Linked DNA regions of Rhinolophus ferrumequinum. The protein of the gene in region 4 purifies or fractionates together with the protein of the main gene of each other region. This does not show direct contact. Links are inferred from orthologs where the notes say so. Each region holds a gene or a part of one and is shown on either strand. Other genes may lie near its edges. The genes, in order: PHETA1, AP2A1, SNX9 and OCRL.

The links.
Region 1: the proteins of OCRL (region 4) and PHETA1 purify together in Homo sapiens (co-immunoprecipitation; 5 studies listed by BioGRID and IntAct, counting the BioPlex papers as one, with this or other methods). This does not show direct contact. The link is inferred for Rhinolophus ferrumequinum from reciprocal best matches to the Homo sapiens genes OCRL and PHETA1.
Region 2: the proteins of OCRL (region 4) and AP2A1 purify together in Homo sapiens (affinity purification with mass spectrometry; 3 studies listed by BioGRID and IntAct, counting the BioPlex papers as one, with this or other methods). This does not show direct contact. The link is inferred for Rhinolophus ferrumequinum from reciprocal best matches to the Homo sapiens genes OCRL and AP2A1.
Region 3: the proteins of OCRL (region 4) and SNX9 purify together in Homo sapiens (co-immunoprecipitation; 3 studies listed by BioGRID and IntAct, with this or other methods). This does not show direct contact. The link is inferred for Rhinolophus ferrumequinum from reciprocal best matches to the Homo sapiens genes OCRL and SNX9.

What each region holds. Positions count from the first base shown.
Region 1 is NC_046308.1:6,756,715-6,764,768, forward strand, and holds the start of PHETA1 (sesquipedalian-1), read right to left. Parts: upstream 3,002-8,054; 5' UTR 2,785-3,001; intron 464-2,784; 5' UTR 339-463; intron 1-338. UniProt on the Homo sapiens protein: Plays a role in endocytic trafficking. Required for receptor recycling from endosomes, both to the trans-Golgi network and the plasma membrane.
Region 2 is NC_046298.1:44,814,220-44,821,649, reverse strand, and holds the start of AP2A1 (AP-2 complex subunit alpha-1), read right to left. Parts: upstream 3,145-7,430; 5' UTR 2,996-3,144; coding exon 2,929-2,995; intron 1-2,928.
Region 3 is NC_046286.1:99,676,233-99,683,441, forward strand, and holds the start of SNX9 (sorting nexin-9), read left to right. Parts: upstream 1-4,063; 5' UTR 4,064-4,914; coding exon 4,915-4,926; intron 4,927-7,209. UniProt on the Homo sapiens protein: Involved in endocytosis and intracellular vesicle trafficking, both during interphase and at the end of mitosis. Required for efficient progress through mitosis and cytokinesis. Required for normal formation of the cleavage furrow at the end of mitosis.
Region 4 is NC_046284.1:26,460,177-26,467,669, forward strand, and holds the start of OCRL (inositol polyphosphate 5-phosphatase OCRL), read right to left. Parts: upstream 3,138-7,493; 5' UTR 2,947-3,137; coding exon 2,908-2,946; intron 2,686-2,907; coding exon 2,606-2,685; intron 1-2,605. UniProt on the Homo sapiens protein: Catalyzes the hydrolysis of the 5-position phosphate of phosphatidylinositol 4,5-bisphosphate (PtdIns(4,5)P2) and phosphatidylinositol-3,4,5-bisphosphate (PtdIns(3,4,5)P3), with the greatest catalytic activity towards PtdIns(4,5)P2.

The DNA.
Region 1 (8,054 bases), on a different chromosome or scaffold from region 4:
GCAGGGGGCGATTGCTCCTAACCAAATCCAACTCGTCTCACCTGCCTATGCAGTCAAGGAAAGCTTCCTGGAAGAGGCAACACAAGTTGATTTCATAGCTGAGTCAGCCTGTGCTGACCTGGTAACCAGGCCAAAGCCAGAGTCCCTGCTGTGCCTCCCGGTGTGACTTCAGACATGGGCTGCCCTTCTCTGAGCCTCAGTTTCTCTCTCTGCAAAATGGGACTCATGCATTCTCCCCCACAGCCCAACAACCCCATATGGACCCAAGCCCCATTTCTCACAGGAACTATCCACTCCACTTGTCCCATTTTCCTCCTACCTCTCAGGCCACCACTCACCTCCCTGCCCTCAGCCCAATCTGCTTTCGGTGTGCTGTTCTCTGGGTTCAAATATCAGCTCTGTAGTGTCGAGGATGTGTGATCTCAGGCACGCTTTAAGCCTCTTTGGGCCTCTATTTCCACATCTGCAAAATAGGATCATAATAGCACCTAAGTCAGGGTTTTTGTGACGATAACACAGTGATTACATACCAGGCACTGAGCATGGTGCCAGGCACACGTATGTGCTCAGAAGTAGCAGTTGTTGACATTCTCCCCACATGCTCCCCTCCATGCTCTGTCTCAGCAAATGGCCTTTGGTTTCTCCCCTCACCCCTACTATGACCACTCATCAAGTCCAGCTGATCCCCCCTCCAACCTCTTCCAAATCAGTGGCCTAATCTCTGTCCACTGCCACCTCCACACTCTAGGCCCCCATCACTGCTCGCCTGGCCCGCTCCATCTAGTGGCCTCTTCATTTGTCTCCCTGCCTCCACCCTTGTCCCTTCCCTGTCCATGTTCTTCAGGGTAAGAGCCAAACTCTTTCCTAGGCCTCTCCACTGAAATCCATGCCCCGTAGAGAGATCCTGTGAAAACCAAATTCAGCCACACTTCTCCTCCACTCTAAGCCCTCCCATGGCTCCCTACTTCTCTCAGTATAAAATTCAGTCTTCCCCATGGTGTCCAAATTCCCTTCCTCTTGCTCACTCATCTTCAGCCACCCGGGTCTCCTTGCTGTTCCTCATGTTCCCGTCTCAGGGCCTTTGCCCTGGCTCTTCCCTCTGCCTGGAATGCCCTTCCCATATCTTCACATGGCCAACTCCTCATCCTTCAGTTTCAGCTTGACCATCATCTCCTCAGGGAGGCAGTCCCTGACCACCCTATACAAGAGACTCCCCCAGTCACTCTCTTGTACCCCATCCTGAAAGTACCTAGGTCATTTTTGCCTGCTCTAGGGGCTTTTGTCTGGATCCCAGTGTCTGGCAGTAGTTTGTGCTGAAATGCCTGTAAAACGAGTCAAACAGTCATCTTAAACCTCTCAACAAGCCCCATGACAAGGGGTCTATTCTCCATCCCACATTCACGGATGTGGAAACGGAGACACACAGAGATTAAGGCACTTGCCCAAAGGTACAATGCTGTGCCCAGAATCAAATGCTCTATGCAGCTGGCCCAAAGGAACTGATGTTGGGGTCTCTCCACCCCATTAAGGCCAAAGGAAGAGCAGTTTCCCTCATGCTCAGCAAATGGGGCCAGCCAGGCCAGGGTCACCGGCAACACAGGACCCTGCTCTGTCCATGGCCTCTGCTTCCTCCAACCCCAGCAAGAACCAAGGTGTGTGTGTGTGGGGGGGTGAGTACAGTAAGCAGCAGGGGCACAGCTCTAGCCTGGGGCAGGGCCTGGTCCCTGGCTTATCTCCTCACACTCCTGTTATTTTCCAAGACGGTCAAAGTCCACTCTGGGCACTGCTTCTGATTCCCAGCTCCTTTCTGGTCCCAGGGCCAAGTTCTCGCCTCCTCTAGAACAGGCGGGAGGGCCTTGAGAAAGTCACTTCACCTTTCCAAGCCTCAGTTTCCTCATCTGTCAGTGGGCTGTGGAGAGGATTCAATGAGCTAAAATGAGGAAAGCCTGCTGGAAAACTGTGGGAAAGCCACCAAACATATTGCCGTTATGAGTTGGGGTTTTCACAGCCTCATCTATAAAATGAGAACACTAACATCCATCCCTCCAGGAAGGGTTGAATAAATTAATCCTGAAAAGCCATTTTGCAAATTGCTTAGCAGGTAGTGAGCACTCAGGAAAGCTGTCCAAAAGGCAAATAATTAGCTCAAGGTCTCCCGGGAAACGGGTGGCCCAGAATCCTGGACTGTTGGGAAACTGTGCTATGGCATTTTGGCACACACTTCAAGGAAAGAAACCAGACCACAAGTCCTGAGGTTGAATCCAGCTGCCACAGTGTCCCCTAGCAGTGGGCATGCAGGAGAGGGTGTGGCAGGTACAGGCAGAAAAACATGTGCTGGGGGAACCATGAAGCAGGGGCCACAGCGACGCCAGGATGGCAGCGCCAGGCCAGAGGCAGCCCCACTGCCTATTGCAGAGACTGGATCTCCAGCTCTGATCCTAGCTGCCTTCTGTCCCTTCGTGTCGTGTGGAAGTTCTCTTGAGTTTCCTAAAGGGCAGCCAGAGCCCCGGATCGGTGGTCAATGGCAGAATGTGAGTGCCAAGTGGAGGGCTTGCCCCATAGTTCAAAAAGCGGCAGAGGTTCCTTACGGGGCCGGGGGGAGGAGGGGAGTCATCGGCCAAGTTTGTCCCCCGCACCTGGGGTCCCTAATGGGGAAATTACAGATCCCCATCAGAGGTCTCTCCAGACGCCCGCAGGACCCCGAGGCCCACGGTGGCCGGAGCCCTGTCCCGCGCGTCCCCTTTGCAGGTCTTCCAGCAGGTCCCCGCTCCAGGCCGGCCTTACCTCGCAGCGAGGCCTAGGGCGGCAGTGGCGGCGACGGAATGGGAGGCGCAGGGCCGGCGGGCGGCCTGGCCATGGCCCAGGACCCGCTCGGTGGCGGCGACGGTGACGGCGTCGGCGCTTTGTCTCCCGGGCGGCCGAGCCGGCGCAGCCGCGAGAGAGCGCGGCTCGGACGAAAGGAGGCGGAGGCAGCGGGACAGCCAGGGACCCCCCGGGCGCACCCCTTTAACCCTTCCCGACCCACCCGCCCCAGCGATTGTCCCGCCCCGGGGTTGGTCAGGCCGGACCCGACACGCCCCCGGATTCGCCACGCCCCCGTGGGCCCTGCCCCGAAACCACTCTTAAAGGGCCTACGATGTTTCACGAGTCTTCAGTGCCTCATCCCAGGAAAGAGGATCCGGTCCCGGAGAATCAACGCGCTTCCAGGGGTAAGGACCGGTTGTGGGTTCTCCCTGAAAAAACATCGGGAGGCCCAGGCAGGACCTCTCACTGAAGCCCTAGGCCTGGAGTCTGAGCTCCTCCCTGACTAGGGTTGCCAGATTTAGTAAATTTAACGCCCAATTAAATTGAAAAATAACTGGACATGCTGAAAACGTGTGATTTCTAGAAAACAAGCTGAATACAGGACATTTCGGGCGTTCTGACCAAGTCAATGGAGGACTGTACTATATGTCCAAAATGCCTGGCAACCCTACCTCTTGCCCCATGGGAAGAGGGAAAGTTCTGGAGGGTCTTAGAGAAATCGCTTCACTTGTCTAGGCCTCAGTTTCCTCATCTGTAAAATAAAGACAGTAATGGTATGTCAAGTTCATGGCACAGAGCAAGTGCTGTCAGCAAATAGGAATTGCTGCCCTTTTTATCCTACCCAAATAACACAGTTCCACCTCCCTGGACCTGTCTTTACTTCCTGCTCTTGCTGCCACCCCTCAGTCCTCCAGGACTCAATCACTGTCTGGTTCTGGCGTGAGGGCAGGAGAGAAACAGGACAGACCTGGATCATCTATTCATTCTACAGTGTTTCACTGAGTGCCTACTGTGTGTCAGCCACTGTACCAGGCACTGTTCCTGAGTTGACCAACAAACAAGATGAGTACTAGAAGTGATTCTGCTAGGACAACTATTAGCCATGGCAGTGGGGTAGAAAGACTAGAAGTACAACTTTAGACAAGGTAGTCAGGGAAAGCTTTCCTGAGAGGCAGGGACGGAGGGAGCTGTGTAGATATCTGGGGGAAGGATGTACAGGCAGAGGGACCAGCAAGTGCAAAGGTCCTGAGATGGGACCATGCCAAGCATGTTTGAATGGGCAAGAGGCCAATGGGGCTGGAGTCAAGTGAGCAAGTGGAAGAATAGTAGGAACAAAAGGTCAGGGAGTATTGGCAAAGGCAGGTTGCTTAGGGCCTTGTAGATCATAGAAAAGACTTTGCTTTCAAGAGTGGAGAGAGACAGCTACCTGATGATATCTGATGTCAGCTGAGCCCCTGGATCCAGTTGTACCTGATGCTGCATTAATTACTCCAGCAGGAAAGGCAAGGTAGAATTTATCCAAGTCTAGACACTTGCCACGTAAGGCGAATGCCAGGCATATGGGCATTTGGGCCTTAGTGTGTGGGAAATTTCCCAGAAGCCTATGAGCCTTGGCTCTCAGAGCCCTCTTGCTGGAGTCAAGGGATGATATGAGTGAAAGAGGCAGAAGTCAGAGAGCAAGTGCCTAGCATCTTTTATTTTTCTGAGTCATTATTTTTTCAGTTGACGTGAAATTTACATAAAAAATTAACTGTTTAAAAGTGAACATAGGGATGGCCGGTTAGTTCAGTTGGTTAGAGCATGGTGCTAATAACACCAAGGTTGCCAGTTTGATCCCCGCATGGACCACCGTGAGCTGTGCCCTCCTTAATAATAATAATAATAATAATAATAATAATAATAATACAAGTGAACATAATGTATAACATGGTGACTATAGTTGGTAACACTATTGAATAACTGAAATTTGCTGAGAAAGTAGAACTTCTATGTTCTCTCCCATACATGCAAATATATATACACTGTAAATATGTGAGGTGATAGATGTGTTAATTAGCTAAATGAAGGAATCGTTTTACAATGTATATGAATTTCAGATCATCACAATGTACACCTTATCTTACCTCAATAAAGCTGAAAATACATCAAAGAAAATAAATACAGCTCCCAAATTTTAAAAAATCACCAGCAAAAAATATAAATAAAGAGAACAATTCATCGATGGTTAGTACATTCACAATTTTGTGAACCTTCAATCTGGTTCCAGAACATTTGTATCACTCCAAAGTAAAACCCTACACCCAGTAGTGATTACTCCCCATTGGCCCCTGCCCTCAACCCCCAGCACTGCTAATCTACTTTCTGTCTGTGTGAATCTACCTATTCTGGACAACTCATATAAATGGAATCACACAATATGTGGCCTTTTGTGACTGGTTTCTTTCACTCGGCATCACGCTTCCAAGCTTTATCCATGTTACAGCACGAGTATCTCCTTCCTGTATGGCTGAGGAATATCCGGTTTTACGGATGGACCACATTTTTCTATCCTTTCGTCCCCTGATGGACAGACATTAAGTTGTTTGCCCCTTTGGGCGATGAACAGTCAGCATCTTTGTCGCTGGAAATGTAATGGACCGGAACAGGGACAGTGATTCAGAAGGACTGGAAAGAAGAATTTCAAAACCAGAACTGGGTTGTGGCTACTGTTACCAAGTCCTGACGATTTTACTTCCAAACCATGTCTCGAGTTTGTCACTTCTCCATCTCTGCCACCACTTCCCCATCCCAGGCTACTGGCATCTCTTGCCAGGTTGGCTGCCATAATCTTCTCTCGGGTCTCCCTTCTGGCACTCTGGACCCTGCAACCCCTGAATCCATTCTCCACTTAATAAAACTTAAGTCAAATCAAGTCATGGCACTCTCTTGCTCGAAGCCTTTCCATGGCTTCACATCACGTCAGGAGCAAGTCCAGGTCCTTTCTGTGAGTGGCAAGGCCTTACTTGTCTTGGCCTCTGCCCACCCCTCCAGGCTCTGCACACACATTTTCTCATCCCCACTCCCTCAGCTTTGGCCACCTGGCTCCCCTCTGTTCCCAGAATGCACCATACCCTGAACCTTTACACATGCCGGTCCCTTCCAGGACTCATCCTTCAAGCTCTCACTCAGCGGTCACCTCTTCCAGGAAGGCATATGACCCCCAGCCCCACCCTGATGAGTCTAATGCCTTTGTTTCCTCCAATCAGTCATTCTTTCAACCAATATTTAGTGAGCACTAACTGCATCTCAGACACCAGGATACAAGTTAAAAAGACAGATAAGTACATACATGCATGTTTGTAGCAGCACTAGTTACACTACCCAGAAGGTGAAGACATCCCAGATCTCCATCAAGGGATGAATGGGTAAATTACACATGGTCCATCCATACAATGGAATATTTACTCAGTCATAAAAAGGAATGAAGTACTGACACATGCTACAATGTGGCTGAATCTCGAATATGCTATGCTAAGTGAAAGAAGCAAAACACAAAGGGCCACACATTGTATGATTCCATCGTTATGAAATGTCCAGAATAGATAAATCCACAGGGACAGAAAGCAGACCATCAATGGTTGCCTGGTACTAGGGGGAGAGGCGAGTGGGAAGTGACTGCTTAACAGGTACGGGGCTTTACTTTTGAGTGATGAAAACTTTTTGGAACTAGATAGAGGTGGTGGTTGTACAACGTTGTGAATTCATTTTAAAATGGTCGATTTTATGTCATGTGAATTTCACCTCAATGAATTATTTTTTTTTAATGACAGGCAAGTGTTCCTGTCCTCCCTTACCAGAGGAAAAAAATAAGGAAGCAACATTCATACAGTACATTAGATGACGTTAGGAGTCAAGGAGAAAAATAAAGCAAGGGAAAAGCATATGAATTGTGAATGAGGATGGTGAGTTGCCATTTTCATTAGGTGAGGCCTACAGAAGGTAGCTTTTGATTAAAGACCTGAAGGAAATAAGGGCACAAGCCATGCAGATATCCAGAGGGAACAGCATTCCTGGCAGAGGAAACAACAAATGGAAAGGCTCAGAGGCAAGAAACATGTCAAGGGGGCCAGTGTGGCTGGAGCAAAGAGAGCAAAAGGAGAAGAGAGGTGAGATCAGAGAGGCCTGTGAGCTTTACTCAGAAGGTCGGTGGGATGAGGAGGACCCACCAAGGAGATGAGAAGGTACAGACAACGAAGCAGGAGAAAAGCCAGGGCAGGCCAATTATAGGTATCGTATTTGGGTTTGATGACTCTGCGTAACCTGTGACACCTCCCCACCACCCCAGGTTAGAGGGTAGGTCCATGAGGGCAGGGAGTTTCGCCTACTTTGTTCACTGTTGCATCTCCAGCGCCTGGCACAGCACCTGGCATATAGAAAGTACTGAGTGACTCCAGGCTTGAGCCAGTTCCTCCCAGGAAGGTGCCCGCAGGACCTGCCATCTGGCATCCAGATTTTGGCCTCCCAGCCCTTTCTACTGATCCCCCACTTTGTGCAGCCACCAGCAGGGAAGATAGTGGTCCCAGCTGGGGTGTGAGGCAGAGTTTCCTTCCACAGTGGTTGCCCCACCCCAGAAGTGGCCAGGCCCAGCCAGCCCCAAGAAGGAACTGAAATTGTCCTCCACCACAAATACCTGGCCCAGGCCACAGACTGTGAGAGGGGCAGTGACAGGAAAGGCCAGAGTCCCTGGACCTCAAAGGGCCCCCCTCCTCTGGGAGGTGTTGGGGAGAAACGGGGACCCGTGCACCACCAGCCTGAGGCCTGGGTCCTGTGTGTGACTCTTGCTGAAGGCGTCTTGCAAGGTCTTGCCAGCTCATTGCATAGCGTCAAATGGAGGGTTTGGGAACCTGCCCTAAAAGGGGGCATTGCTGAGTCCTCTCCTCCTCATCCCCTCTATTATTTATGGAGCCTCTCTTCTCCCCCCTTGCCAAACCCTCTCTTTTCTCTTCTGCTGCCGACCACCGAATTCCTAAATACTTCCTCCCAAGGAGCAAGTGAAACCTTGAGTTTCACTTGCTCCTTGTCAATAACCAAGATGCATTGCATATCGGCCCAGGGCCAAGTTCCTTTTATACAAACCCTTATATTGAATCCTCAAACCAAGGATCAGAGAGAGTAATGTGCCCATGGCCTCACAGGAAGAGGCAGAACTGGAGGTCCAACCCAGAAGTCCAGAATGGCTGCCTTTGGTATATGTTTTTCCTCCTGCTATA
Region 2 (7,430 bases), on a different chromosome or scaffold from region 4:
ACCACTAATTCCAGAACGTTTTCATCACCCCAAAAAGAAACCCTGCACTCCTTAGCAGTCACTCCACATTCCACCAACCCCTCGCCCTAGGCAACCACTAATCTACTTTCTGTTTCTATGGATTTGCCTATTCCAGACGTTTCAGATAAATGGAATCATACATTTTTGTGTGTCTGGCTTCTTTCATTTAGAATGATGTTTTCAAGGTTCATCCGTGTTGTAGCATCTAGGTTATCAGTACTGCATTCTTTTTAATGGCTGAATAATATTCCATTGTGTGGGTGGAAAACATCTGTTTATCCATTCATCTATCGATGAATATTTGGGTTGTTTCCACTTTTTGGCTATCATGAATAATGCTGCTATCAACATCTGTATACAACTGTTTGTAACAAGGACAGCTGCATTTTTTATGCAGTACAGGTCTCCCTCACGGGGCTAGGAGCTCCACAGGGACACTGACAAGTCTGTCCTATTCACCGTTATATCCCCAGCGCCTATAATAAGGCGAGAAACATACCAGGCACTCAACATATACCTGATGAGAAAAAGACAAGGGGAAGCCCTGATTGTCCAGCCCCAATACATTTGGCAAAATTACCTCCACTGTCCCCAAGTTGGAGTCTCCTCTCTGTCCTCTGGCTTCCCGCTGGGGTCCTGCAGTGACACCAACCTGTTTTCTCTTTCCTTCCCTAACCCCATCATCCAATCCCTTTGCAAATCCTACAGAATTTATCCCAAATCCAACCACTTCTCCCCACTCCCTTCTCACCCCAGGTGAGCCAACACCATCTCGCACCTGGATAGGCATCTAATTCTTTCCCTGCTTCTGCTCTTGCCTCCAGTCTGTGCTCTTCATAGCGGCCAGAAAAATTATTTTAAAACATCAATCAGCTCGTGTCCCTCCTGCGCTTAAAACCTTGCTGCCTCTCTCATTTCACTCAGGGAAAGGCCAAAGGGCTCACTGTGACCCACAAAGCCCTACACGTCAGCTCCCATCCTCTCTCCCTCTTTTGGCTCCAGCTACATCGGCCCCCTCACTCATATGGGAACACACACCAAGTGTGCCGCGACCTCAGGACCTTTGAATGCACTGTTCCCCTGCCTGGATCCACAGGGCTTACTCCCGCCATTCACTCAAGTCTCCCCTCACATGTCAGCTCTTCGGGGAGGCCTTCACTGAGCACCCTCTCAGTCCGGGGCCCTCTGCCTGCCTCCCCTTCTTTATTTTTCTTCACAGCATAGTCTGACATTGTATCATGTATTGCAGGTTCTCTGTGTTTATTTTCTCCCTCATGACATGGTACTCCCAAGGGCAGGAATTTTTGTTCACTTTTGTAGCCTCAGTCCCCAGAACAGTGTCTGGCACACTTTACTGATTCAAAAGTACTTGTCAGATGAATGAATGAACCTTCAGAGGCAAGATGCTATTCTCACTGAGGTTTGCAGACAATCAAACTGAGCCTCAGAGAGGTTAAAGTGATATGCCAAGGGTCTCATGTCTGGTAGGTATCAGAGGCGATGCACACCTGCTTCTACCAGCCGGCAACCCCTCCTAGTCCACAACCCCTCCTAGCTCCACCCCTTTTCATGACAACCACCTGATACCAACAGTTTCCACCCTTCCTGTTCATTGAACATCTACTATGTGCTAGATCCTTGGCCACTCCTCAGATCCAGCAAAATAACAAGAACAATAGCCAAGATCCTCCCGGTGCCTGGAATGTGCAAAAGGCCTCATTCACACACATTAACACACCACTGGGGAGTGACAGCATTTAAACTCAAACCCAGGTCTAGCTGCCCCCAAATCCCATGTGGAACAGCCTCTGAAGCTCTTGGCAGCTCCAAATACCAACACCAGATCCCAGGAGTTGGGACTGACTGGATGCCAGGCCTCCCATTGCCATGACAATCCTTCCTGGTGGTGCTCACTGTCCCATATTGAGATGGTCAGAAGGGACAGGGCTATAGATTCAGAACTGTCATGCTCCCTGACCCCTCTCTGAGACCAGGCTTCCTCTACTCCCCAGCTTTTCAGATCTCTTCCTCACAAATTCCTAAGGCTCCCTGGCCCCTTCTTTGAGCTCTGGGCTCTTCCCTTTCTGGAACATCCCCCAAGCCCCTACTTTATAATATCCTCCCCTTTTCAGGCCCCAGCTTTCTGTCTCAGGTTCTTCCAAGACCCTCACCTGCAGTGTCTCTCCTCTACACTCCGTGAGTCCCTCTTTTCCCCTCCGTAACCCCTCAAGCCTCTGCACTGCCCTCAATATCTCCTAAGCAATCCTCCATCCTGGAGCCCCTCTGTCCCTCACCAGGGTCCCGCTATAGGCCCCCACCTTCCCACCTCTCTTTCCCAACCCCTGGGACTTTCTATCATCCCCAGGCCCTCTCTATGTACTAGCCAAGGGCCTCAATGACCTATCTAGCTTCTTCCCTCTATGACAACCTCTCAACCAGGCCCTCAAGCGCGGCCCCATTAGGCTCCCAGCGTTTCACGTCCTCCCAGGCCCCTCTAGCCTCCTCCCACTCTATCACTCCACAGAATACCCCCCCCGCCCCCCCGCAACCCATCCACCACCTTCCCTTTGTATCTACATCAGGGATTCCTCTAACCCCATCGCTAATACGACCCATCCGGCTATCATCCACAGGGACACCTCTATGCCCCCATCCTTGGAACCTTACTAGCCTCCTCTCCTTTAAGACCCTCCCAGACGCCTCTAGCCACTCCGTGTCGTCACCTCAAGAGGCACTCTATGACACCCTAAGCCCCTCCATTCCCCCCACCCTAAAGTTCCCCCCGGGTCCTCTCTATCTTTTCCCTCTACGACCCCAATGGTTTTCTATCCCCCGGGCCTCTCTGTAACCCTCGAACCCCTCAATTCCACGCTCCCCGTCTCCAGTGTCCCCCCGCCGAGCTCTCACAGTTCCGGATGTCGGAGATGAACACCGCGAGCCCCCGCATCCCATCGCCCTTGGACACGGCCGGCATGATGGCGGTGGTGTCGGCTCCAGGCCTGGCCGGGCAGGGCACAGCGCAGCGGGGGCTGGCAGACAGGGATCGGGAGGAAAGGACCCCAGGCAACGCCAAGGAGCCGAGCCGGCCAGGGGGGGAGGGCGGGCGGACAGGCAGGCGGGCTGGCAGGCCGCAGCTCCGCCCCCGGCCCCTCCCTCCCCTCCGCCGTCTGAGCTCACAGCCGCCCATTGGCTCAGGTCACTGCTGCTCAGACACAGGATCTCCCTCACTCCCTCTCTCATTGGCCGCAGGGCAAAGGCACGCCGCTACGATTGGTCCAGCTCCCCGCTATTTCCGTTCGGGGGAGGAGGCGTTGCCGAGAGGCGGGCGGAGTCCGGTTACGTACTGTGGGACCGCCCCCTACGCGCGGATACTTGGGATATTGATTGGATTCGAACGCTCTCTACAAGGGAGGGATTGGCGTGAAGGAAGGCGGGGGAGCGGGCTTGAGGAGGCGGAACTTGCTTTGACTCGGGCCAATGGGCGAATAGATCGCCCCCGCAGACCTCGCAGATTCGCCGGGCCGTCCTGCTCCCGCCCACCATTGGGCGGTAATGTGGGCTGGAGCAGGGTGATGAAAGGTGGAAAAGGAAGGAGAAGGGAAGGTGTCGCTCAGCTGGTCTGGGATAGGTGGAGCGTCGTCTGCAATTCCCTGCTGCAGAGAAGGGGATGGGAGGGGCAAGAAAGCGTGAGGTGTTTACTGCGCAAGCGTGTGTCTGTTCCCCTTTCTCCCTACTTTCCTCCACCTACTCTCCTTAAATCTTCTAAGATTTCCCCACCACCACCTCCTCCTCCCTTATTTAGCGGCCAAGAAGTTGAGACCTAACTTGTCGGGAGACCGAGAATCCCAAGGCAGAGGACACAGTAATTCAAGTCTCGTCCCATTAAGCAGAGGTCAAAACTGAGGTTCAGAGAGGTTGAATGACTTGCCCAAGGTCACACAGCTAGGAAGTGTCAGAATCGGAATTTAAATTATATTTTGGCTTTTAACGACTTTTTAATAGGCAATGCCTTTTTGTCGCAATCATAACGCCATTATACAGATATCAAGTCAAAATTGTGAATCTCTCCACCAGACTTGCAGCTCCTGAGCAAGAATGGGACCCAGTACTGAAGAACGCTGTTTAAAAGGAAGGAATAGGTAGATCTGCTGTGGTTGGCCCAACCACCACCCTTCAGTGCCCCAGAGACCCGCTCTGGTTGACTGGGTTTTGGGAAGTCAAAGCCTCCGGAACTCCAACGCCCCAGGCTATTGAGCAATTTGGGGCAAAGGGAACTGGAAGAGTCCATTTCTGTCACGGAGGAACTAAACCCCACCCATTACCCTTTTCAGATCTCTGAAACCTAGTATTCTTGGAATGAGCCTTGGTGGAGTGTCCTGGTTGGCGGGAACGTTCAGGCTGAGTCCTGGGGGGATGGAGATTAGGGTGAGAAGAGCCCACCTTCCGGGTTCAATGGATCTGTCCATTTGGGTTTCCAGGAATGGGGCTTGGGAAAGTGTATTCTGGACAGACATCACTCAGCTGTTTTAGTGACCAAGGGAGTCCATTCCTAATAACAGTTGGGGGTGCTGTCTGCCCCTAAAGAACATAGAACAAGCCCATTAAAAATAAAAAATTCTTAGGACCAGGAGTTGAAAACAGTCCTTTTTAAGGAAGGTATGTTAAGCATCCAAGGACTGGAGGGGTCCATTCGTCACATAGGAGGAGGCACTTTCTCCCAGAAGATAATGCCATTAAAAAAATTTATCTATATAGATAGATAGATAGATAGATAGATAGATAGATAGATAGATAGATAGATATAGATATCACACACACACACACACACACACACACACACACACACACACAGTGGAGGTTCTAACTACTCCGCTTTTTGAGGAATGTGAAGAGAGACAGCCAGAGTCCCAAGAACAGGTAAAGTCCTTCTCTAAGTAAGGGGGAAAGCCACTTTCTTACCCACCTCAGCTCTCCACCTTCCTCTCACCCACCACCTCCAACCCTTCACCTTTCACCCACCTGGAGTAAGATGGAGTTAATTCTGAGTTCTCAGTGTGGATATACAGGAAAACTCAGTCCTCTCCCAACCACCTCCAGAGCCCATGAATTAACAAAAACTTTTTTTTTTTCTGAAAAGGTTTTATTACACAGAGGGGGATGGGGCTCAGTCAGTCCTTCTTGGCAGCTGCCTTCCTCATGACTGTAAGAACTGCTCAGCTCCTCTCTTCTCTTGACACAGAAATGTGTCCTCACCCTTTTCTTGATGAACTTCAGGGCTCACTTGTCCTAAGAGACCTTAAGCAGCTCCATGGCGCCACTCATAGAGGGCAAAGCCGCACACCTCTCAGATCATGTCCCACAGAACTCGGGTGAGGCGCCAGCAGCGGAGTCAGTTGTGCCTCCACTTGCTCACTTTCTTGGTCACTTGTGGCCCTGGCTGAGGCTCATGGCCATGGGGTAGTGCAGGACCATGGCTGGTGCTCCTCAATGGCTGCCGCAGCTGAAGGAGCCAAAAACTTTTAAGACAGGGTCTAAAGCAAAGGCAGTCTGAGGTCTAAAGAGTCAGAATGGCAAAGGAGACTTTGGGGAAACCTGCATGTGGGGTGGACATGGTGCCCCCTTAGGAGCTTGTGGACTTGACCCCTGTTGAATTAGAGCAGGGCTTACCGATATACAGAGGGTGCCAAAAAAAAATGTATATATATTTTAAGAAAGGATAAAACCATATTAGGGCCGGCCCGGTGGCTCAGGTGGTTGGAGCGCCGTGCTCCTAACACCAAGGTCGCAGGTTCCATTCCCATATGGGCCAGTGAGCTGCGCCCTCTACAGCTAAGATTGTGAACAACGGCTCTCCCTGGAGCTGGGCTGCAGTGTGCAGCCAGAGGTTGGCGTGAGCTGCCACCGTCTACTGTGTGCCACCATGAGCAGCCGGTGGCCAGCATGAGCGGCTGGCAGCTGGTGAGAGCTGCTATGAGCTGCTGTGAGCAGCCGACCAAGGACTGGCAACTGACTGCCTCACCAGAGGGGAGCACAAGGCTCATAATACCAGCATGGGCCAGGGAGCTGTGTCCTACACAACTAGACTGAGAAACAACGGGAGTAGGGGGTGGGAGAGGCGGAAGAAAGGGGGGGGAACTGTATTAAAATTGTAATACTCAATATATACCGATAACAAAAGATGAATACCAGTCATGTGTATACGTTTTTGTGGCACCCCCGGTAGGTATACAGTGGGAGCCACAGGTATAAATTTCTATTTATTCCAGGCATATTAAAAAAAAAGTAAAAAGAAAAGGTGAAATTAATTTTAATAATATATTGTATCTGATCCAATATACCCAAATATTACATTTCAACATATTTGGCATGCTTATTTTTCTAAGTCTTTGAAATCCAGGGTTTTTTACTTATAGTACATCTCAGTTGAGACTGGCCACATTGCAAGCCCTCAGTAGACACAGGCCATTCATAGTGGCATTGATATTGGATGGCATAGAATTATAGGACCAGATTTGAGAAAGAACATTTTGGAGCTCAGGGGTTGACCCACTGCTAAGTTTTAAGACCAGGCCACAAACAAATCCACGTTTGGTGGTCTAGATGAGGTTTGGGAAAGTCCATTTTGGTTTTAAGACACAGCAGCTCTGTCTTAAAGGAGCTCATGGATTGAACCATCAAGAGCTTCTAAGACTTTGACCTGAGCAAATCAACTCTCAACTTTCTCCAGAAAAACTGTATTCACCCCCAGTCTTCCCATTTTGACAAATGGGCCCTCCATCAATCACCCAGGCACTCTCGCTAGAATCCCTCCTGTCTGTCACCTCAAACCAAGGGCACAACATATCCCAGAGCCAGCCACCTCCTTACATCACTACTGCCCCGCCCCGTGTAGGCCACCATCACCATCATCTCTTGCCTGGAACTAGGGTTTCCAGGCAAGAATTCCCATCTATTCTCAGGAAATTTTTTTCGCTTTCCCGTTCCCGAATCCTGAGAAAAGTTGGTCAGGAAATCAGGAAAATCGGCTCCTTGAAGCCAGTAATACCCACAATGGGAAATAAACATACTACTCACAATGTATCTCTTAGACATGTTTCCTATTTATCGCTAGGGTTTCCAGGCGGGAATTCCTGCCCGTTCTCTGGAATTTTTTCGCTTTTTCCGTTCTTGAATCTCGAGAAAATTTGGTCGGGAAATCGGGAAAATCGGCTCCTTGAACCCAGGTGGTTGGTAGTATTATTGGCCGTCACTTTGTGGAAACGATTCATCGTGGAGAACAGAAAACAGTTTATATATCAGTATTCGGGAACGGGAAAGCAAAAAAAATTCCTGAAAACAGGCGGGAATTCCCGCCTGGAAACCCTACCTGAAACTTTGCAGTGACGTCCCTTGCTGCTCTCCCTGCTCCC
Region 3 (7,209 bases), on a different chromosome or scaffold from region 4:
AAAAGTGCCATCTAGCCAAACGCAGTCTGCAAATGCAAATCAAATTCCTTAGCTAATCAATTGTGTTCTCACCAATGGGAGTAATGGAAATTCAGGCTGTAGAGCAAATAGCTGAACTTGACGTGTGCCAGTTTCAACCTCTGGGTTCTGAGGACGGCCCACGGAAAGCACCACCTCTGAGAAAGCCTGTCAAAGGAAGGAAGTGGATGGGAGGAAAGAAAGAGGTTTGAACAGGTGATCAAATGGAATCAGAAGATGAAACCACGTTCTTCCCAACTTGGCCCAGGGCTTTTCGTGATTATCCTGAGTGACGTCAACTTTCTAGTTTGGGAGAAGCCACTGTTCCACTTGGCGGCTGGACTTCTTGGAATAAGATGAAAGGATATCATGCTTCTTCTGTTCTTCTAGTGTGGGTGGGTGGCTCCTAGCACAGTTCAAGACAGGAGTCCTTGACTGGTTTATCTTGTTACCGGTCTAAGAGTCCATGTGCCCTACGCTTCCGAAAGCCAAAACTCCAAACATAAGAGTTGGGAGTAAGGAAAGGTTTATTGTTTGAGAAGGTGCCACTTGAAAAAATGGGGGGTTCTAATCCTCAAATCAATCTTAAGAAAGTACAGAGTTCAGGCTTCTTTTAAGTCAAGGGAAGGGAAGATGGGAGGGGCAAGAGGTGATTGACGACCACAGACATCTGGGTACCAGCAGGGTCTGAGGAAGACCCGGAAATCTCTAAATCTCTTTGTTTGTTCTTAGTCTGTTCACCCCAGCTGACCTGAGTCTGCTCTTGAGGCTCCTGCAAGCCTTTGATAAATTATCATTATTTTTGTACACATTTCCCCCACCTGCTTGGGAGCGGCGCCTTCCAGCAAGGGACTGTTCTTTTAAAAACTCAAGTCCCACGTAGAATTCTTCTAATGATTAGCATCTCTCTAGCAGGAGCTGTTAGCCTGAAGGCCACAGGAACAACGCACGCCGGAATAAGATTGGGCCAGAGAGACGGATCATGTCACTGGTACAGTGACTGTCTTGACCTTCACAAAACTGCCTTCGAACCTCTCACCTGAAATATTTTTAGTTCAAAAATGACATGTTTTGGAGACCCGTGATAAGAGAAGTGGGCTCTTGTCTCTGCTCTGGCCTAATGCACACCAATAGGTAAGTCATTTACCTACCCTGTAAGGTCCAGTCGGACCAGCGAGCATTGGGCAGTTGAGGTTTATATGCCGTTAGGGACAAAGAGAGGGGAACGGGTCTGGGATTTCAAAGGCAATAAGCAATTTACAGGTAGCTGAGTAAGAGGGGAACACAGGTGACAGGCAAATCCCTGCTAGCCAACTCTGAAACAATGGGACATGAGGTGGGGCGTCTAGTTAACAGGCCCCAGCTTAGAGCCTTTCTATGTGCCACAATATGTTGATTCCCTTCCAGGAGAAGGCCTTTCCATCTGAATCTCTTAGGCAGGAAAGGGCGTGGGTCAAAGGTTCTCTCGGGGTCTTCATTTCTTAATAACCAACTTAAAATCAGTATCCCAAGAGGCACACTTTGGGGGTGGCAAAACTTTGGTCCCCTTCAGTGGTGCTAGGGCAGGTTGGAGACATGGGCACAAAGCCTCTGCTCCTTAACTTACTGTCTGATGGGGGGAGTCAGGCAACTGGTCACTCAATAATGAATTACAAACAAATTTCCAAAGGCAAGGAAACCAAGTACGGTGAGACCTTCAATCAACAGAACTTGACTGAAACTGGGGGCAGGGAAGATTTCCCTGAGGAATACTAACTGCTGTGACGCTCCAGGAGAGCTCCGAAGGATGAGTGGGAGGTCAGCTGGTGTGTGGGGTGGTGGGGGGAAGTGAACAGATGGTGGGGGGATAGGGGTAATTCAGACAAAGAAACAACACAAGCAATGTAATTTGCTGTGAAATGAAATGAAAACGTGAGGTCTCTTGTTCAAGACTATTCAGAATTTAAAGTTTGTGAGAGAGAAGCATTAAAGCAAGAGTGGGGTCCCTCTAAGCACTGGACCCTGCGCAGGTCACATGCCCAGGAACCTCTCCATGGAACAGAGTATGATGCTGGGGGGGGGGGGGGGAGGAAGCGAGAGGCCAGTATGGCCCCGGGAGGGTGGTATTAGATGGAGCTGGAGCTCAGACTCCCTGAGATTACATTAGTGATGCACTACCGGACTAGGAAACAATGTCATGGTGTTTTTACTATCTCAATAATACAGGTAGTGATTTCACTTTCATTTAATGTTTTTATTGATTTTGCTTAGTCATCATGAATTTGATGTCTTCCATGGTTACTTCTAAGGATGAAACCAAGACTACAGAAATTGTTCAAATCGGAAAAGCTTGGACTCTGGTCTTTTTCCTTTCTTGGTATCAGGTGTCCAGGTTGATTGGTGGTAACCGCAGGCTTGAGGCAGAACCTCTTGGAAGGTCCAGGGAGCCATTGCTCTGCTTGGTCCCGGATGTTTATTCAGCACTCATTTTACTCAGCCCAGAGGAGAGCACAACTGGCCCACCAGCACCCCATCCAGGCGGGTGTCAATTGAGCATGCCAAAAAGCACAGGTCACAGGATCAACCCCGAGTTTGTAGCTCCCTTACAAAACATGCATTGTTGAACTGCTGCAGGGAGCTGAAGGCAGCTTTCAAATGTGAAAGAATATGGAAAATTCATTACTTATGCTATTACCCAAGTTCAAATCCTGGCTTTTCCACATACAAGTTAGTATGTGTTCTTAGTCCAGATATTTATTTAGTTGTTTATTAAAACAAACATTTTTAAAATAAAGTAATAAACACATTTTCAAAAATTCTGACGATGGCATCTAATGAATCTTCAGGCATTTTCTAGGTATATACAAAGTATTTTCATATTTTTTTACACAAGTGGATTGTGCTATGCTATGTTTATCTTTATTTGTGCCTTTTTAAATATTATCCTTTTCTTATGGGCTTCCCAGAATTTCATTTGCCTGGTATGCTGTATTGAAACAGTCCTATTAACAAACATATAGGTTGCTTTCTGTTTTGGGTTAGAACAATGCTTTACTTAACTAACATCATGACTCACTTGCGCAAATCTGACAGCACGATACATTCCTAGAAATAGACCTGCTAGGCCCAAGGTTATGGGAATTTTCAATTTTGAAAAGTATTACCAAATCAGCCAAGTTATTTCAGGGAGACTTGATTTCTTCATGTCTGTAAACAGTGGACAACAATGACTTTCTCAAAGTTTCCTTATAAGGATTAAATAAGATTAAAGCATGTGAAAGTCTAGTACCATGTTTCCCCGAAAATAAGACCTAGCTGGACCATCAGCTCTAATGCATCTTTTGGAGCAAAAATTAATATAAGACCTGGTATTATATTATATTGATTATATTATAAAGACCGGGTCCTATACTAATTTTTGCTGCAAAAGATGTATTAGAGCTGATGGTCCAGCTAGGTCTTATTTTCTGGGAAACAGTATATAGTAATTAAACTGTCAATGAATGGTAATCTCTCGCTTTCCTTTTACTTTGACTATTTATGAGTATTATAATTTATGACTATAGCTTTAGCCATGAACTCAGCAAACAAAAAATTTACAGAAAATTCTGTAACACCATATCCATTTTCAACTCCATTGCTGAATGTATAATAACTCTTCAAATCTCTGGAGGTCAAAGAGTATTTTCGACAGAACACAAAATTTGGCATTAGTTCTAAATACTGCTTTTCTAGGCTAATAATCAAATCTAGACTTGATTTGATAGCTGCCTCTTTTAACATATATATCCCTGATAATAAAAAACAAACTGTACTACACTGACATACCAATTAAGATATATCTTCCAGTCATATTTTTGGTACTCCAGTGATAATCTTACTGCTCAATTTAAGTCATTCATGTATGAATAAAACCCGTGTGTCCAACTCTGAAGAAAAACATGTTGACAAAAAAATATGGAAAATTTTAGACCTCTCATTTCCACTTTCAGAAAATACGTTGTATCTTCCCCAAACCTCTAGGGCCCTGCGTCATTTTTAAATTGATCAAGCGTGCAGAAGGTTAATGTGACATCTCAGAATGAACTCTCCAAGCGTCGCGGCCCAGAAGCTCCAGGCGGGATCCCAGCCTGTGGTAACCCCAGGCTTGAGGCAGAACCTCCTGGAAGGGCCGGTCGGACCAGGGAGCCATTGCTCCGCTCGGTCCCGGCTGTTTATGTAGCACTCGTTTTACTCAGCCCAGAGCACAGTCGGCCCAACAGCACTCCCGACTCAGGACCAAGATCCCCGTTGGTCACCCGTGCCCGGCCAGGGGGACGTAGACTTGTCACCGTAGCCTCGTGCCTCACGCAGCCGAACTTGAGCCGCTGCGTGCGGCGCGGTCGTGAGGAGCCAGTCGGGACTCGGCTCCCGGGGAGGGCGCTCCCCCCCGAGGCGTCCTCACTCCCCCCAACATTTCCGCGGGCAGCCAGGCGGGGCGCGGCCGGGGGCTGGGACCCGGGCACCGACCCCGACTCCGGCAGCGACTCGGGCCGCGTCCCTGAGCGGTGGAACAAAGGGCGCCCGGCGGCGGCGGGCCCGGGGCGGAGGCTCCGGGCGGGGGCGGAAAGTGGGCGAGGAGGCCTGGCTGGCCGAGGGCACCGGGCGCGCTTCCGCCGGCCGCGCCGCGCACGCCGCGGTAAATGGGAGGCTCGCCGGCAGGGGCGGGGGCCGCGCAGTCGGGGAGTTTCAGGAACTGGCGGAGCGGGCGGCGGCTGGAGTCACCCAGCGCCCAGACTCGGGGCCGAGGCGGAGCTGTCGCCGCCGCCGCCGCGCCGTGGCCCAGTCGTAGCCGCCCTCACCTTCGCCTGCCCGCCTCGGGCCGACAGCGCGGCGCGGGAGAGGAGCCGGCCGTCCCGGGCCGGAGATCCGCCCGCCATGGCCACTAAGGTGAGGGGCGCGCAGCGCAGGCCCTGGCGGCCCCTCGGCTCCGCGGCGGGGCCAGGAGGGTCCGGGCCGGGGACGCGGGCGGCAGGGACGCGGGCGAAGCTGAGGGGCCGGCTCGCAGCCCCCCAGGGCTCGGGTCACGCGGGGCGAGGGCGTTCGGGGGCCCGGCTGCAGGCGCTAGAGGGTCGTGGGGCGGGACCCCGGACGCGAGCGGGGCCTCCTGCAAAGTTTGCCCCTGAACGTGGGCTGCGGCCGGCCGCGTGGAGGTGAAGTTCCCGCAGCCCTCGGCTCGCTCGGAGGAGCCGTGCCGGCCACCGGGAGACGCTGGTAAGGTTCCGAGTGGTGTCCAGTCGCCAGTGCCCCGCACATCCGGCCGCGGCGGAGAGGAGCGTCCCCTCCCTCCGCCTCCTGGTGGACTCCCGGCACGCCGGCCGGTTTTGGGGGACTCGACCCCGGCGGGAGAGGACTCGGCGTTTTAAATTCAGGCCGGCGAGCGAGAGCTCCGGGGGAGGGAAAACGCAAATTGAACGCCCCGCGCTTCCACTTCCTTTCTTGTTTTTTTTTTTCTTTTGTTTTGTTAGCTTTTCAGTTTGAATGTTATTTCCAGCGTGAATAAAATACAAAGAGGGAAATGACTGGGCTTTCAATAACGCGTTTGCTTGAAAAAGGCCCAGGCCCGACTTACGTGGTGGAAGTTTGACTCGCGCTTGGTAATTGGCCAGGAGTGGTGCTTTGCTTATTTTAGAGTATTTTTCGTAGAATTAGAGGTCACCCTTCGCTGCTTGCGTCTGCTGGCGTCACCCTTCCCCGCTCCCTTTCCTGGGGTGTTTTCCTTAATTCTTAATGTAAACTAGGAAAGCCAGGACCATTGAATGAAGATTCCAGGAGGTAGTCATGTGTTTTGAGGAATGCATTGACTTTTGCAAATAGTTTTTTGTTCTGTCACTTTTGTAAAGATCAGCACCCTCTTCCATATTTATGTTTGAAATCTGTAAGCTTTTTTTGGTTTGTTGAAAGCCTAACGTTTTTGTTCTTGGGTTTTTGTTTTTGGTAGAGAGACAGGAAAGTAGTAAGAAATGTGAAATCCCTTTAAAAGATAAGATTGTCTGATACCATTTCAGTCTGTTAAATTTTTTGCTCTAAATTTATGTAGGTGCAGTGTTTAGTTTTTTTTTTTTTTTTAAAGGCCACTCTTCTCCAGGGAACCTGTTGCCTGCAGTTACTGAAATAATTACCTACTAGTTAATAGATTATTAGCTATACCCTTCCTTGGTTTTATAAGATGTGATAGAATTTGCTACCTTTTTAACGTATATAATGTTTCGTTGATCCTTTTAAAAACAAAACTCAAAACTCAACAAAACGCACGGATGTCTTAAGGAAATTTGATTTTGAGGTTTGTTGCCACACATTCCAGAAATTACCAGTTACACGGCCTTATTTTACACTCACCTTGCAACCTTAAAAGCTGTTTGTGGTAGTTATCTGTTTAGTGGTGGTCAGGGCTGTGGTATTTCACACTCTGATCTAATGCACGTTACTGGTACTGTCTTTTAGGTGGGTCCAGGCTTAGCAACTAGTGTGGGTATACATGATGAAAAATTTGATAGTTACACCTGAACTTAGTTTTTCCATAAAATCGAAAAGGACAGTTATTGTACTAAACTTGAATTGCACATGTCCTCACTAGACACAAGCCTTAAAGCATGTGTCAGCACTTCCGACTTGATTATCCCCACCACTCTGAAGGCAAATTCCGGTAACTCTGGCTCTTAGTTTCTTTCACCTTTCTAATCACTATTCCACATGGGACTCATTTCCTTGTTTACATGGTGGCAAACTACTTCCATTTTTTTTAAGAAAGGACGAGGAAAAGAGCATTTATTAAAAGAGGACCCATCCTCAGAGTTCTGGTTTTCCTACTTCATGGTGATTCTGTATCAAACCAAAGTCTCATTTTATTTGTTCCCAGAGAAAGTTGTACTTGCTGTTTCCCCTCCAACATCTAGTGGTTTGGGTTTTTCCCTTCCCTTTCTTTAATTGGGTAGTTGGGGAGCATGTACTTTTAATAACTAATAACATCTAACTTTTTAATAAAATTTTAAGACTCATTTGGTACACAGGCTCTTGCTAGGAGCATTAAGTGATGACAAATAAATGCAATATCTGGACATTTTAGGTAGTGTCAGGTTTCCCTTTGAATTTTCCTTTGAAGCCAGAGTTTGGCTTCTGTTGTTTTAGGTATGATTTTCTTATGTATTTTTCTTACATGTTTTCTTGAAGATA
Region 4 (7,493 bases):
AAAATCCTCAGATTTGTATGGACCCACAAAAGACCCCAAATAGCCAAAGCAATTTGAAGAAAAAAGAGCAATGCTGAAGGTATCACACTCCCTGACTTTAGCTTGTACTACAGGGCAACAATAATCAAAACAGCATGGTATTGGCAGAAATATAGACACACAGACCAATGTAATAGAATTGAGAACCCAGAAATAAACCCACATTAAGTATTGACAGACAATTTTTGACAAAGAACTCAATAACATACAATGGAGAAAAGATAGACTCTTTAATAAATGGTGCTGGGAGAATTGGAAAGCCATGTGCAAAAGAATGAAACTAGACTGCTCTCTGTCACCATGTACCAAAATTAATTCAAAATGGATCAAAGACCTAAGCATAAACCTGAAACAACAAACTGCATAGAAGAAAACATAAGTACTAAACTTATGGACTTTGGGTTGAAAGAGGATTTCATGAATTTGACTCCAAAGGCAAGGGAAGTAAAAGCTGAAATAAATGAACGGGACTATATCAAACTTGAAAACTTCTGCACAGCAAAAGAAACCATCGACAAAATGAAGAGGCAAACAACTGAATGGGAGAAGATTTCTGCAAACTGTGCCTCCGATAAGGGGCTAATATCCAAAACATGCAAAGAACTCATACAACTCAAGAACAAAAAACCAAACAATCCAATTGAAAAAACGGGCATAGGACCTGAAGAGACATTTCTCCAAATAGGACATACAAATGGCAAACAGACATATGAAAAAATGCTCAACATCACTAATCATCAGAGAAATGCAAGTAAAAGCCACAATGAGATATCACCTCACCCCAGTCAGAATGGCTATCAACAAGACAAATAGTAACAAGTGTTGGAGATGCTGTGGATAAAAAGGAACCCTCATACACTGTTGGGAATGCAGACTGGTGCAGCCGCTATGGGAGGCAGTGTGGGGCACTTGTTAAAAGAATGTAGTGACAAGGGAAGGCTGTTTGCTGAGAAATGTCCTCGTGTTTGCTTATTAAAATGCGTTCTGAGCTAGGTCATCTGGCCCACTGCTGAAATGGGCCTCGTCATAGTGATTGTTGAGGTGTGTTGTAACACACCTCAACAACCTAAAATGTAAAATTAAGTGACATTATGAATAGAATTACTCAAAAAATTATGAATAGAATTACTATAAGACCCAGCAATCCCTCTCCTGGATATCTACCCAAAAAATCTGAAAACATTTATCCATAAAGACACATGTGCTCCAATGTTCATTGCAGCTTTATTTACGGTGGCCAAGACATGGAAACAACCAAAATGTCCTTCGATAGATGAATGGATAAAGAAGTTGTGGTATATATACACAGTGGAATACTATTCGGTGGTAAGAAATAATGAAGTAGTACCATTTGTGACAACATGTTTGGATCTTGAGATTATAATGCTAAGCGAACAAGTCAGACAGAAAAAGTGGAGAACCAGATGATTTCACTGATATGTGGTATATAAAACTGAAAACAGGAAAAGAATGACAAATAAAGGAAGAAAAACTCATAGACATAGACAATAATTTAGGGATTACCAGAGGGGAAGGGGGGGGGCTCTAGAAGAGGGTAAACAGAGTCTAATATATGGTGATGGAAAGAGAACTGACTCTGGGTGGTGAACAGACAATGTGAGATATAATGTATTACAGAATTGTACACCTGAAATCTATATAACTTTACTAACAATTATCACCCCAATAAACTTTAATTTAAAAAAATAAAAAAGAAACCTGTGATCACCAAGGGAGACTTGGGCACACAGGAATAGGGGCCTATGATACCATGTGATGGTCACCATACTTTTAATATGAAGCATTTGTAGCAAGGGAGTGAGAGAAGCAGCTATAGTGACAGCTTATCAAAATAATCTTTTGATCAATCAGTCAACAGTATTTACCGAGCTCCTATTTACAAGGCAGAGTGGAAGGTAACACACACTGATAAAATGCCAAATGTCGTTTATATTTTTGCACATTTCATTACTTTAACAATCAAGTGAATAAATGAGGGAGTTACTGACCTACACTAAACCATTACTGAATTAATGAATATGCCTTTTAGCAAGTGGATTAAGGTTGTGGGGAGACTAGAGGAACCTGTTGATTGGAATTAAGAAAAGGCACTTCTGTCAAGGTTAACAATGAAGCGATCCTACAGCACTTTTACTTTTTTGCAAACCACTTTCACGTTTATTATTCTCCCAGTTACAACTCCAAAAGCTATAAGATAGGCAGCTAATTTTTTATTTAACTGATGAGGACACTAAGGCCCAGAAAGCTTTATTGACTTGCCCAAGGTTACACAACATTCGTCAGTTGCAGGGGTAGGAACTGAGAACCCAGGCTTCCTGCTTCCCCGCCCACTGAGTCCTTCCAGTGAGCCTCAATGCCCGGAGCAATCCAAGGGCTTGGAAGTTGGGGACAAAGCCCCGTGGTTAGAGCACTCGCACTTCACACCTGGCCCTGAACTTGTTGCCAGCGTGGCTTCTGTGGGAGGCGGGTGGGAGGCTCATCGCGGTTTGGGGTTGGGCGGTAATGGCAGGCTCCCCTCCTCTGCGGGAATCAGGTGGTTACTTACTCATATTGCCCGTTCCTCTGGGCTAGGGTCAGGGCGCAGGGCTCCCGGAGAGGACCCTTCATCTCCATACCCTCGACAGTATGAGAGCGCTAGTCAAGGGTCTGTGGGAGGTTGTCGCCCCTCTACGTGCCCTCGGTGGTGCCCTGGGTATCGTCTCCCGCGCCAGTCCCCTCCCCCGCTAGACTCGGCCTCTGTTCTTGACCGCAACCCCCAGCCCGCCAGCCTCCGCCGCGTCCCGCAGTTCCCCCGACACCCACCCCCGCCCTACGAGGCCTTCCCTCCCCCATCTCTCAGGCGGATACGGCAAGGGGCTGGGCTCCGACTGGGAGCGGTGGCTCCATCCGGGCGGCCTCCGGGCTCAGCTGGGCTGCGGACTGCGGGCGGATCCGACGACACTGCCTGCCGCGTCCTCCCACCCACGCGACTCGGCTGCGCGTCTTTTTAGGAAAGGCTCCGCACCGCGCGCGGGGAGCCGGGAGCCGGGCGCTGAGAGCCTGACCCGAGAGAGAGAGGCGTCTCGCGCCCCCGCCAGTTTTCCAGGCCGCCGCAGAGTCTGCCCCCTGCGGCCACACTCCGGAACTGCAGCTAGAGACCCGACGGACCTGGGGCATCTCCACCACGTCCAGCAAGGAATATGTTTTAAATGCTGCCCGTGACACCAAAACTGTTCTGGAGATTTGAAGATTGCCACAGAAACAAAACATAGTCATACCTATGAGGATCTCAAAAGTGTTGGGCCAATAGGACCCACATCATCCATTCAAAAAATTCCTTATTACGGTTATAATGTACTGGTTATTCTATCTCCCCCGCCCCTGTCCTCTTCTTCCTTCCACTTCCTAAATCGGAAAAATCTCCAAAGCTCAGTCAGACTTTTGCGCCCCTTCCGAGTCACCTCTATGCAGGCAACGACCAAAAATACATCCCTGGCCCTGATCCTTTGCCTAATATACCCCATTGTTAGCACAACACTGAATGACAAAAATAACTCATCATTTCACACAGCCACCCCAGGCTTGAAACTTCAAAGCCGTATGATTTTTTCCCTCTCTCCTAATTTCTCTGCATCCAATCAGTCAATAAACCTTGTTAATATTTTCTTTGGAATTACTTTTAGATTTCTTGTTTTCTCTCTATTTGCACTACCATCACTTTATTGTAAGCCCTTGTGATATCTCCTTGGACTATTTCACTCTGTTGACAATTATAAGAATATTCTAAGAATCCCAGAGGAATGCTTCTTTTTTGTTATTAATTTGCTCAAGAATCTACAATTGACTATATATCATGACTGATTTTAAACCTATAGTAATTAAGACAGTGTGGTATGGAGGTAGAGAGACCAATGGAACTGACTATAGAGCCTCCAAACAGATCCACACATATAGGAAGTTGATATGCAGCATACATGTCAACTTTCAAAGCAGTAGGGGACAATGGATTATCCACTAAATAGTGTTGGGCCTATTGATCATCCATATGGAAAATTATAAAATTAGATCCCTACCTCACACCATAGAGGGGAAAAATCAATTCTGGGTGGGTCAAACATTTAAATATGAGACGCAAATCTTTACAACTTTCAGAAGAACATCTTTATGACCTTGGAATAGGGACTGTGAATAATTACTTAAGATACTGAAAAGCACAAACAATAAAGTAATTGATTAACACATTTAACTACATTACACTTTACTTAAAGACAACATACACAAGTTAAAAGAAAAGCCATAGACTGGGATAAAATACTTTAAATGCATGTAACTGACAAAGGATAACCTGTGAGGTTCTACACTTCTAGCTGTCATCACCTTTTTGACTTCTTCTTCCACCACTCTCTCCAACTCACTCTGCTTAGTCACTGTTCCTTGCTATTCCTAGGTCATGCCAGAAACACTCTTGCCTCAGGGCCTTTGCACTTGCTGTTCACCCTGCCTGCACTTCTACCTCCTGCATATCTTTGCTCAAATGTCACTTCCTCAGCGAGGCCTTCCTAGACAACTTTATTTAAAATTGCAGTTCAACAGTCTCTTTTCCCACTCCCATACCCACATGCTCCCTATTTATCTTCCCTGTTTAGTTTTCTCCAGAGGATTTATTACTATCCATTATTCTATTTTACTTATTAATTTTGGTTATTGTTTACACCCCCCACCCCCCAGAATGTAAGTTCCATGAGGGCAGGGATTTTTGTCTGTTTTGTTCATTGGTTCATTCCTAGTGCCTAGAACCCTTCTTGGAACAAAGTCGATGCTAGAAAAATATTGATTGAATGAATGAATTAGTATCCAGAATGTATAAGAACCCCTACAAATAAGTGAGAAAAAAGAAAAAAAACTAGTAGAAAATTTACAAAATATGTGAATAAGCAACTCATAGTTAAAGAAACCCAAATGATCAATAAAGACATGAAAGGATGCTTCAATTCATTACTGTTCAGTGAAATTGAAAATTAAAACCATGAGATACCATTTTACAACCCTTGGTTTGGCAAAAATTGAAATTCAGACAACACCAAATGTTGAGGATGTAGAACAGATAGAACTCTGGTCACTGTGAGAAGGGGTGTAAATTGGTAGAACTGCTATGAAGAGGAATTTGACATCATATAATATAATTGTACATGTAATACCTTTCAATCTAGAAATTCCAAATCTAGCAATAGACCTGGGCAAAATTCTACACTTTGGGCACAAGGAGACATGTAAAAAACTGTTCACTGCAGCATTATTTGTAACCTCAAAAAATGGAATCAAATTAAATATCCATCAGTAGGTGAATTAATAAATAAATCATAGTATTCATGAAGTTGAATACTATTTTGAAATTAAAATGAATAGCTCAAACTATATGTATTAACAGAGCTCATTGTCAAAAATATAATGTTGAGCACGAAGAGAAAATTTCAGAATATTAATATGTACAGTTTACCATCTACATAAAGCCTGAAAACATTATATGTTGCTTATCACTATATAGACATAATAGTAAAAGTGTATAAAACAAGAAAGGGCATGATAATCACCAAATACAAAACAGGGAGAGGGGCACAAAGGGAATATCAACTATATCTGTAATATATATATCTATATGTACGTATTTTATACACAATCTGAAAGTTGATGTTGCAGAGTTTGATAGAACTGGGTGGTAGGTACATATATTGGTTATGTTATTTCATGTCCTTTCCTGCATTTTAAATTGCTTGCAATCAATGAAAATGAAAAACAAAGAAATAATATGCAGGGGAGGGTTAGTGTCAAATGTTGAAAAAGGGACAAGGAAAATGAGGACTGAGAGACTTTCTTCAGGAGTTCACTGGAGACCATGAAATAAGTGGTTTCAATATGTGGTGAAGGTAGAAACAAGGTGACAGAATTGAGAAGGGACTATATCGTGAGGAAATGGAGATAAGAGACCATGTATTGAAGAGGCTTGGAAATAAAAAGGAGTAAAATGAAATTTTAATTAAGTTAGTTAGAAGGGTCAAACAGAAATAGTTGACACAACCTGAAGCCACTTTAAAGCAAAGGGGAAGGAGCCAGCGAAGAGGGGGGCATTTAAAATACAAGAAGAGAAAAGCAGGAAGGTTGCAAGAAAAAATCCTCAGTAATTAGGGAAGGACAAGTATCCAAGGTACAGATGGAAGCATCAACCTTAGAGAAGAGGGTAACTTCCTCCTCCAAGTCTCCAGTATCTCCAGCACCTAAAATAGTGCCCTTTATATAGTGGGGTACTCAAATGTTTGTTGTAAAGATTAAGAAGTTGTGAAGACATGGAGGTGAGGACGTTAAAAACTGTGATCTCTCACAGAAGAGATGATGATTTTCTCCAAAAAAAGTAATAAGTGGATATTATAATAGTAATAATAACAACAATACCTGATCCTGGTGGCTATGTTGAAGACTCACGTGACAGACCCTCTTCTCATGGCCTTTCATTTAATTCTCACTAAATCGCTGTAAATTATTAATATTGTTTCCATTTTAAAGATGAGAAAACTGAGACTCAGAGACATTTAGCAACTTGACCATTAACTAGTAAGTGGCAGAAACTGACATTTGTCTGAATCCAAAGCCTTAGCTTTTTAACCAACATATTATGTTGTTCATTCAGTATTAATAGTAGTACCAGTGTTTATTTAGAACATTCTATATGCCAGGTACTCTGGTAACTTGTCTACCTGAATGATCACATTTAATCTGATGAAATTAAAGTTGAGAGTAGAGGGTTTGAGAACTTGAATACGATGTAGAAGGAGGGAACAGGCACTGTTGGAGAGTGACAGTGAATGCAGAAAAGGTAAAGCGTTTTAGAGCAACGGAGAGCACAATTGGAGGCAGATGGCATGAATTTCTATAGTGGTTCAAAGGAACACATGCCTATAACTTTCTTCGGCAACACTTTAAGATGGAAAGCAAGAGCAGGGGAAACATGCCAAGAAGGTGCATTAGGCTTGGGAGTTAGTATAGCAGGCACAGCAGGAGGTCATGGGGTGAGGGAGTCTAAAGTGGTGTTTAGGATGCATTGAAATAGCTGGCCCTGGAGTCAAAGTTAGGTGAAGATATTAATCTCCTCAGCCTAGGACCAGTAGAGGGGACAAAGGCAACTGGACAAACATAATCATTTCCCTAGGCCTCATTCTGCGGCAAATTGTTGTATCTCCTTTTGGGGGATCATTTTGGGGACTATGCTTACTTATGTGCTTCTGTACGTGTGAAGTCATTTCTGTAAATTGGCTAAATCATTTTTTTAAATCCATAACCACCTTTGGACTTACCTGTGGTTGTTCATGATACCACTGTTTAACTAGTCACCCAAGTTTGAAACTTCCGGTTTATCCACGAACCCTGCTTCTCCTTCACATATGATATCCTATGACTCAAAT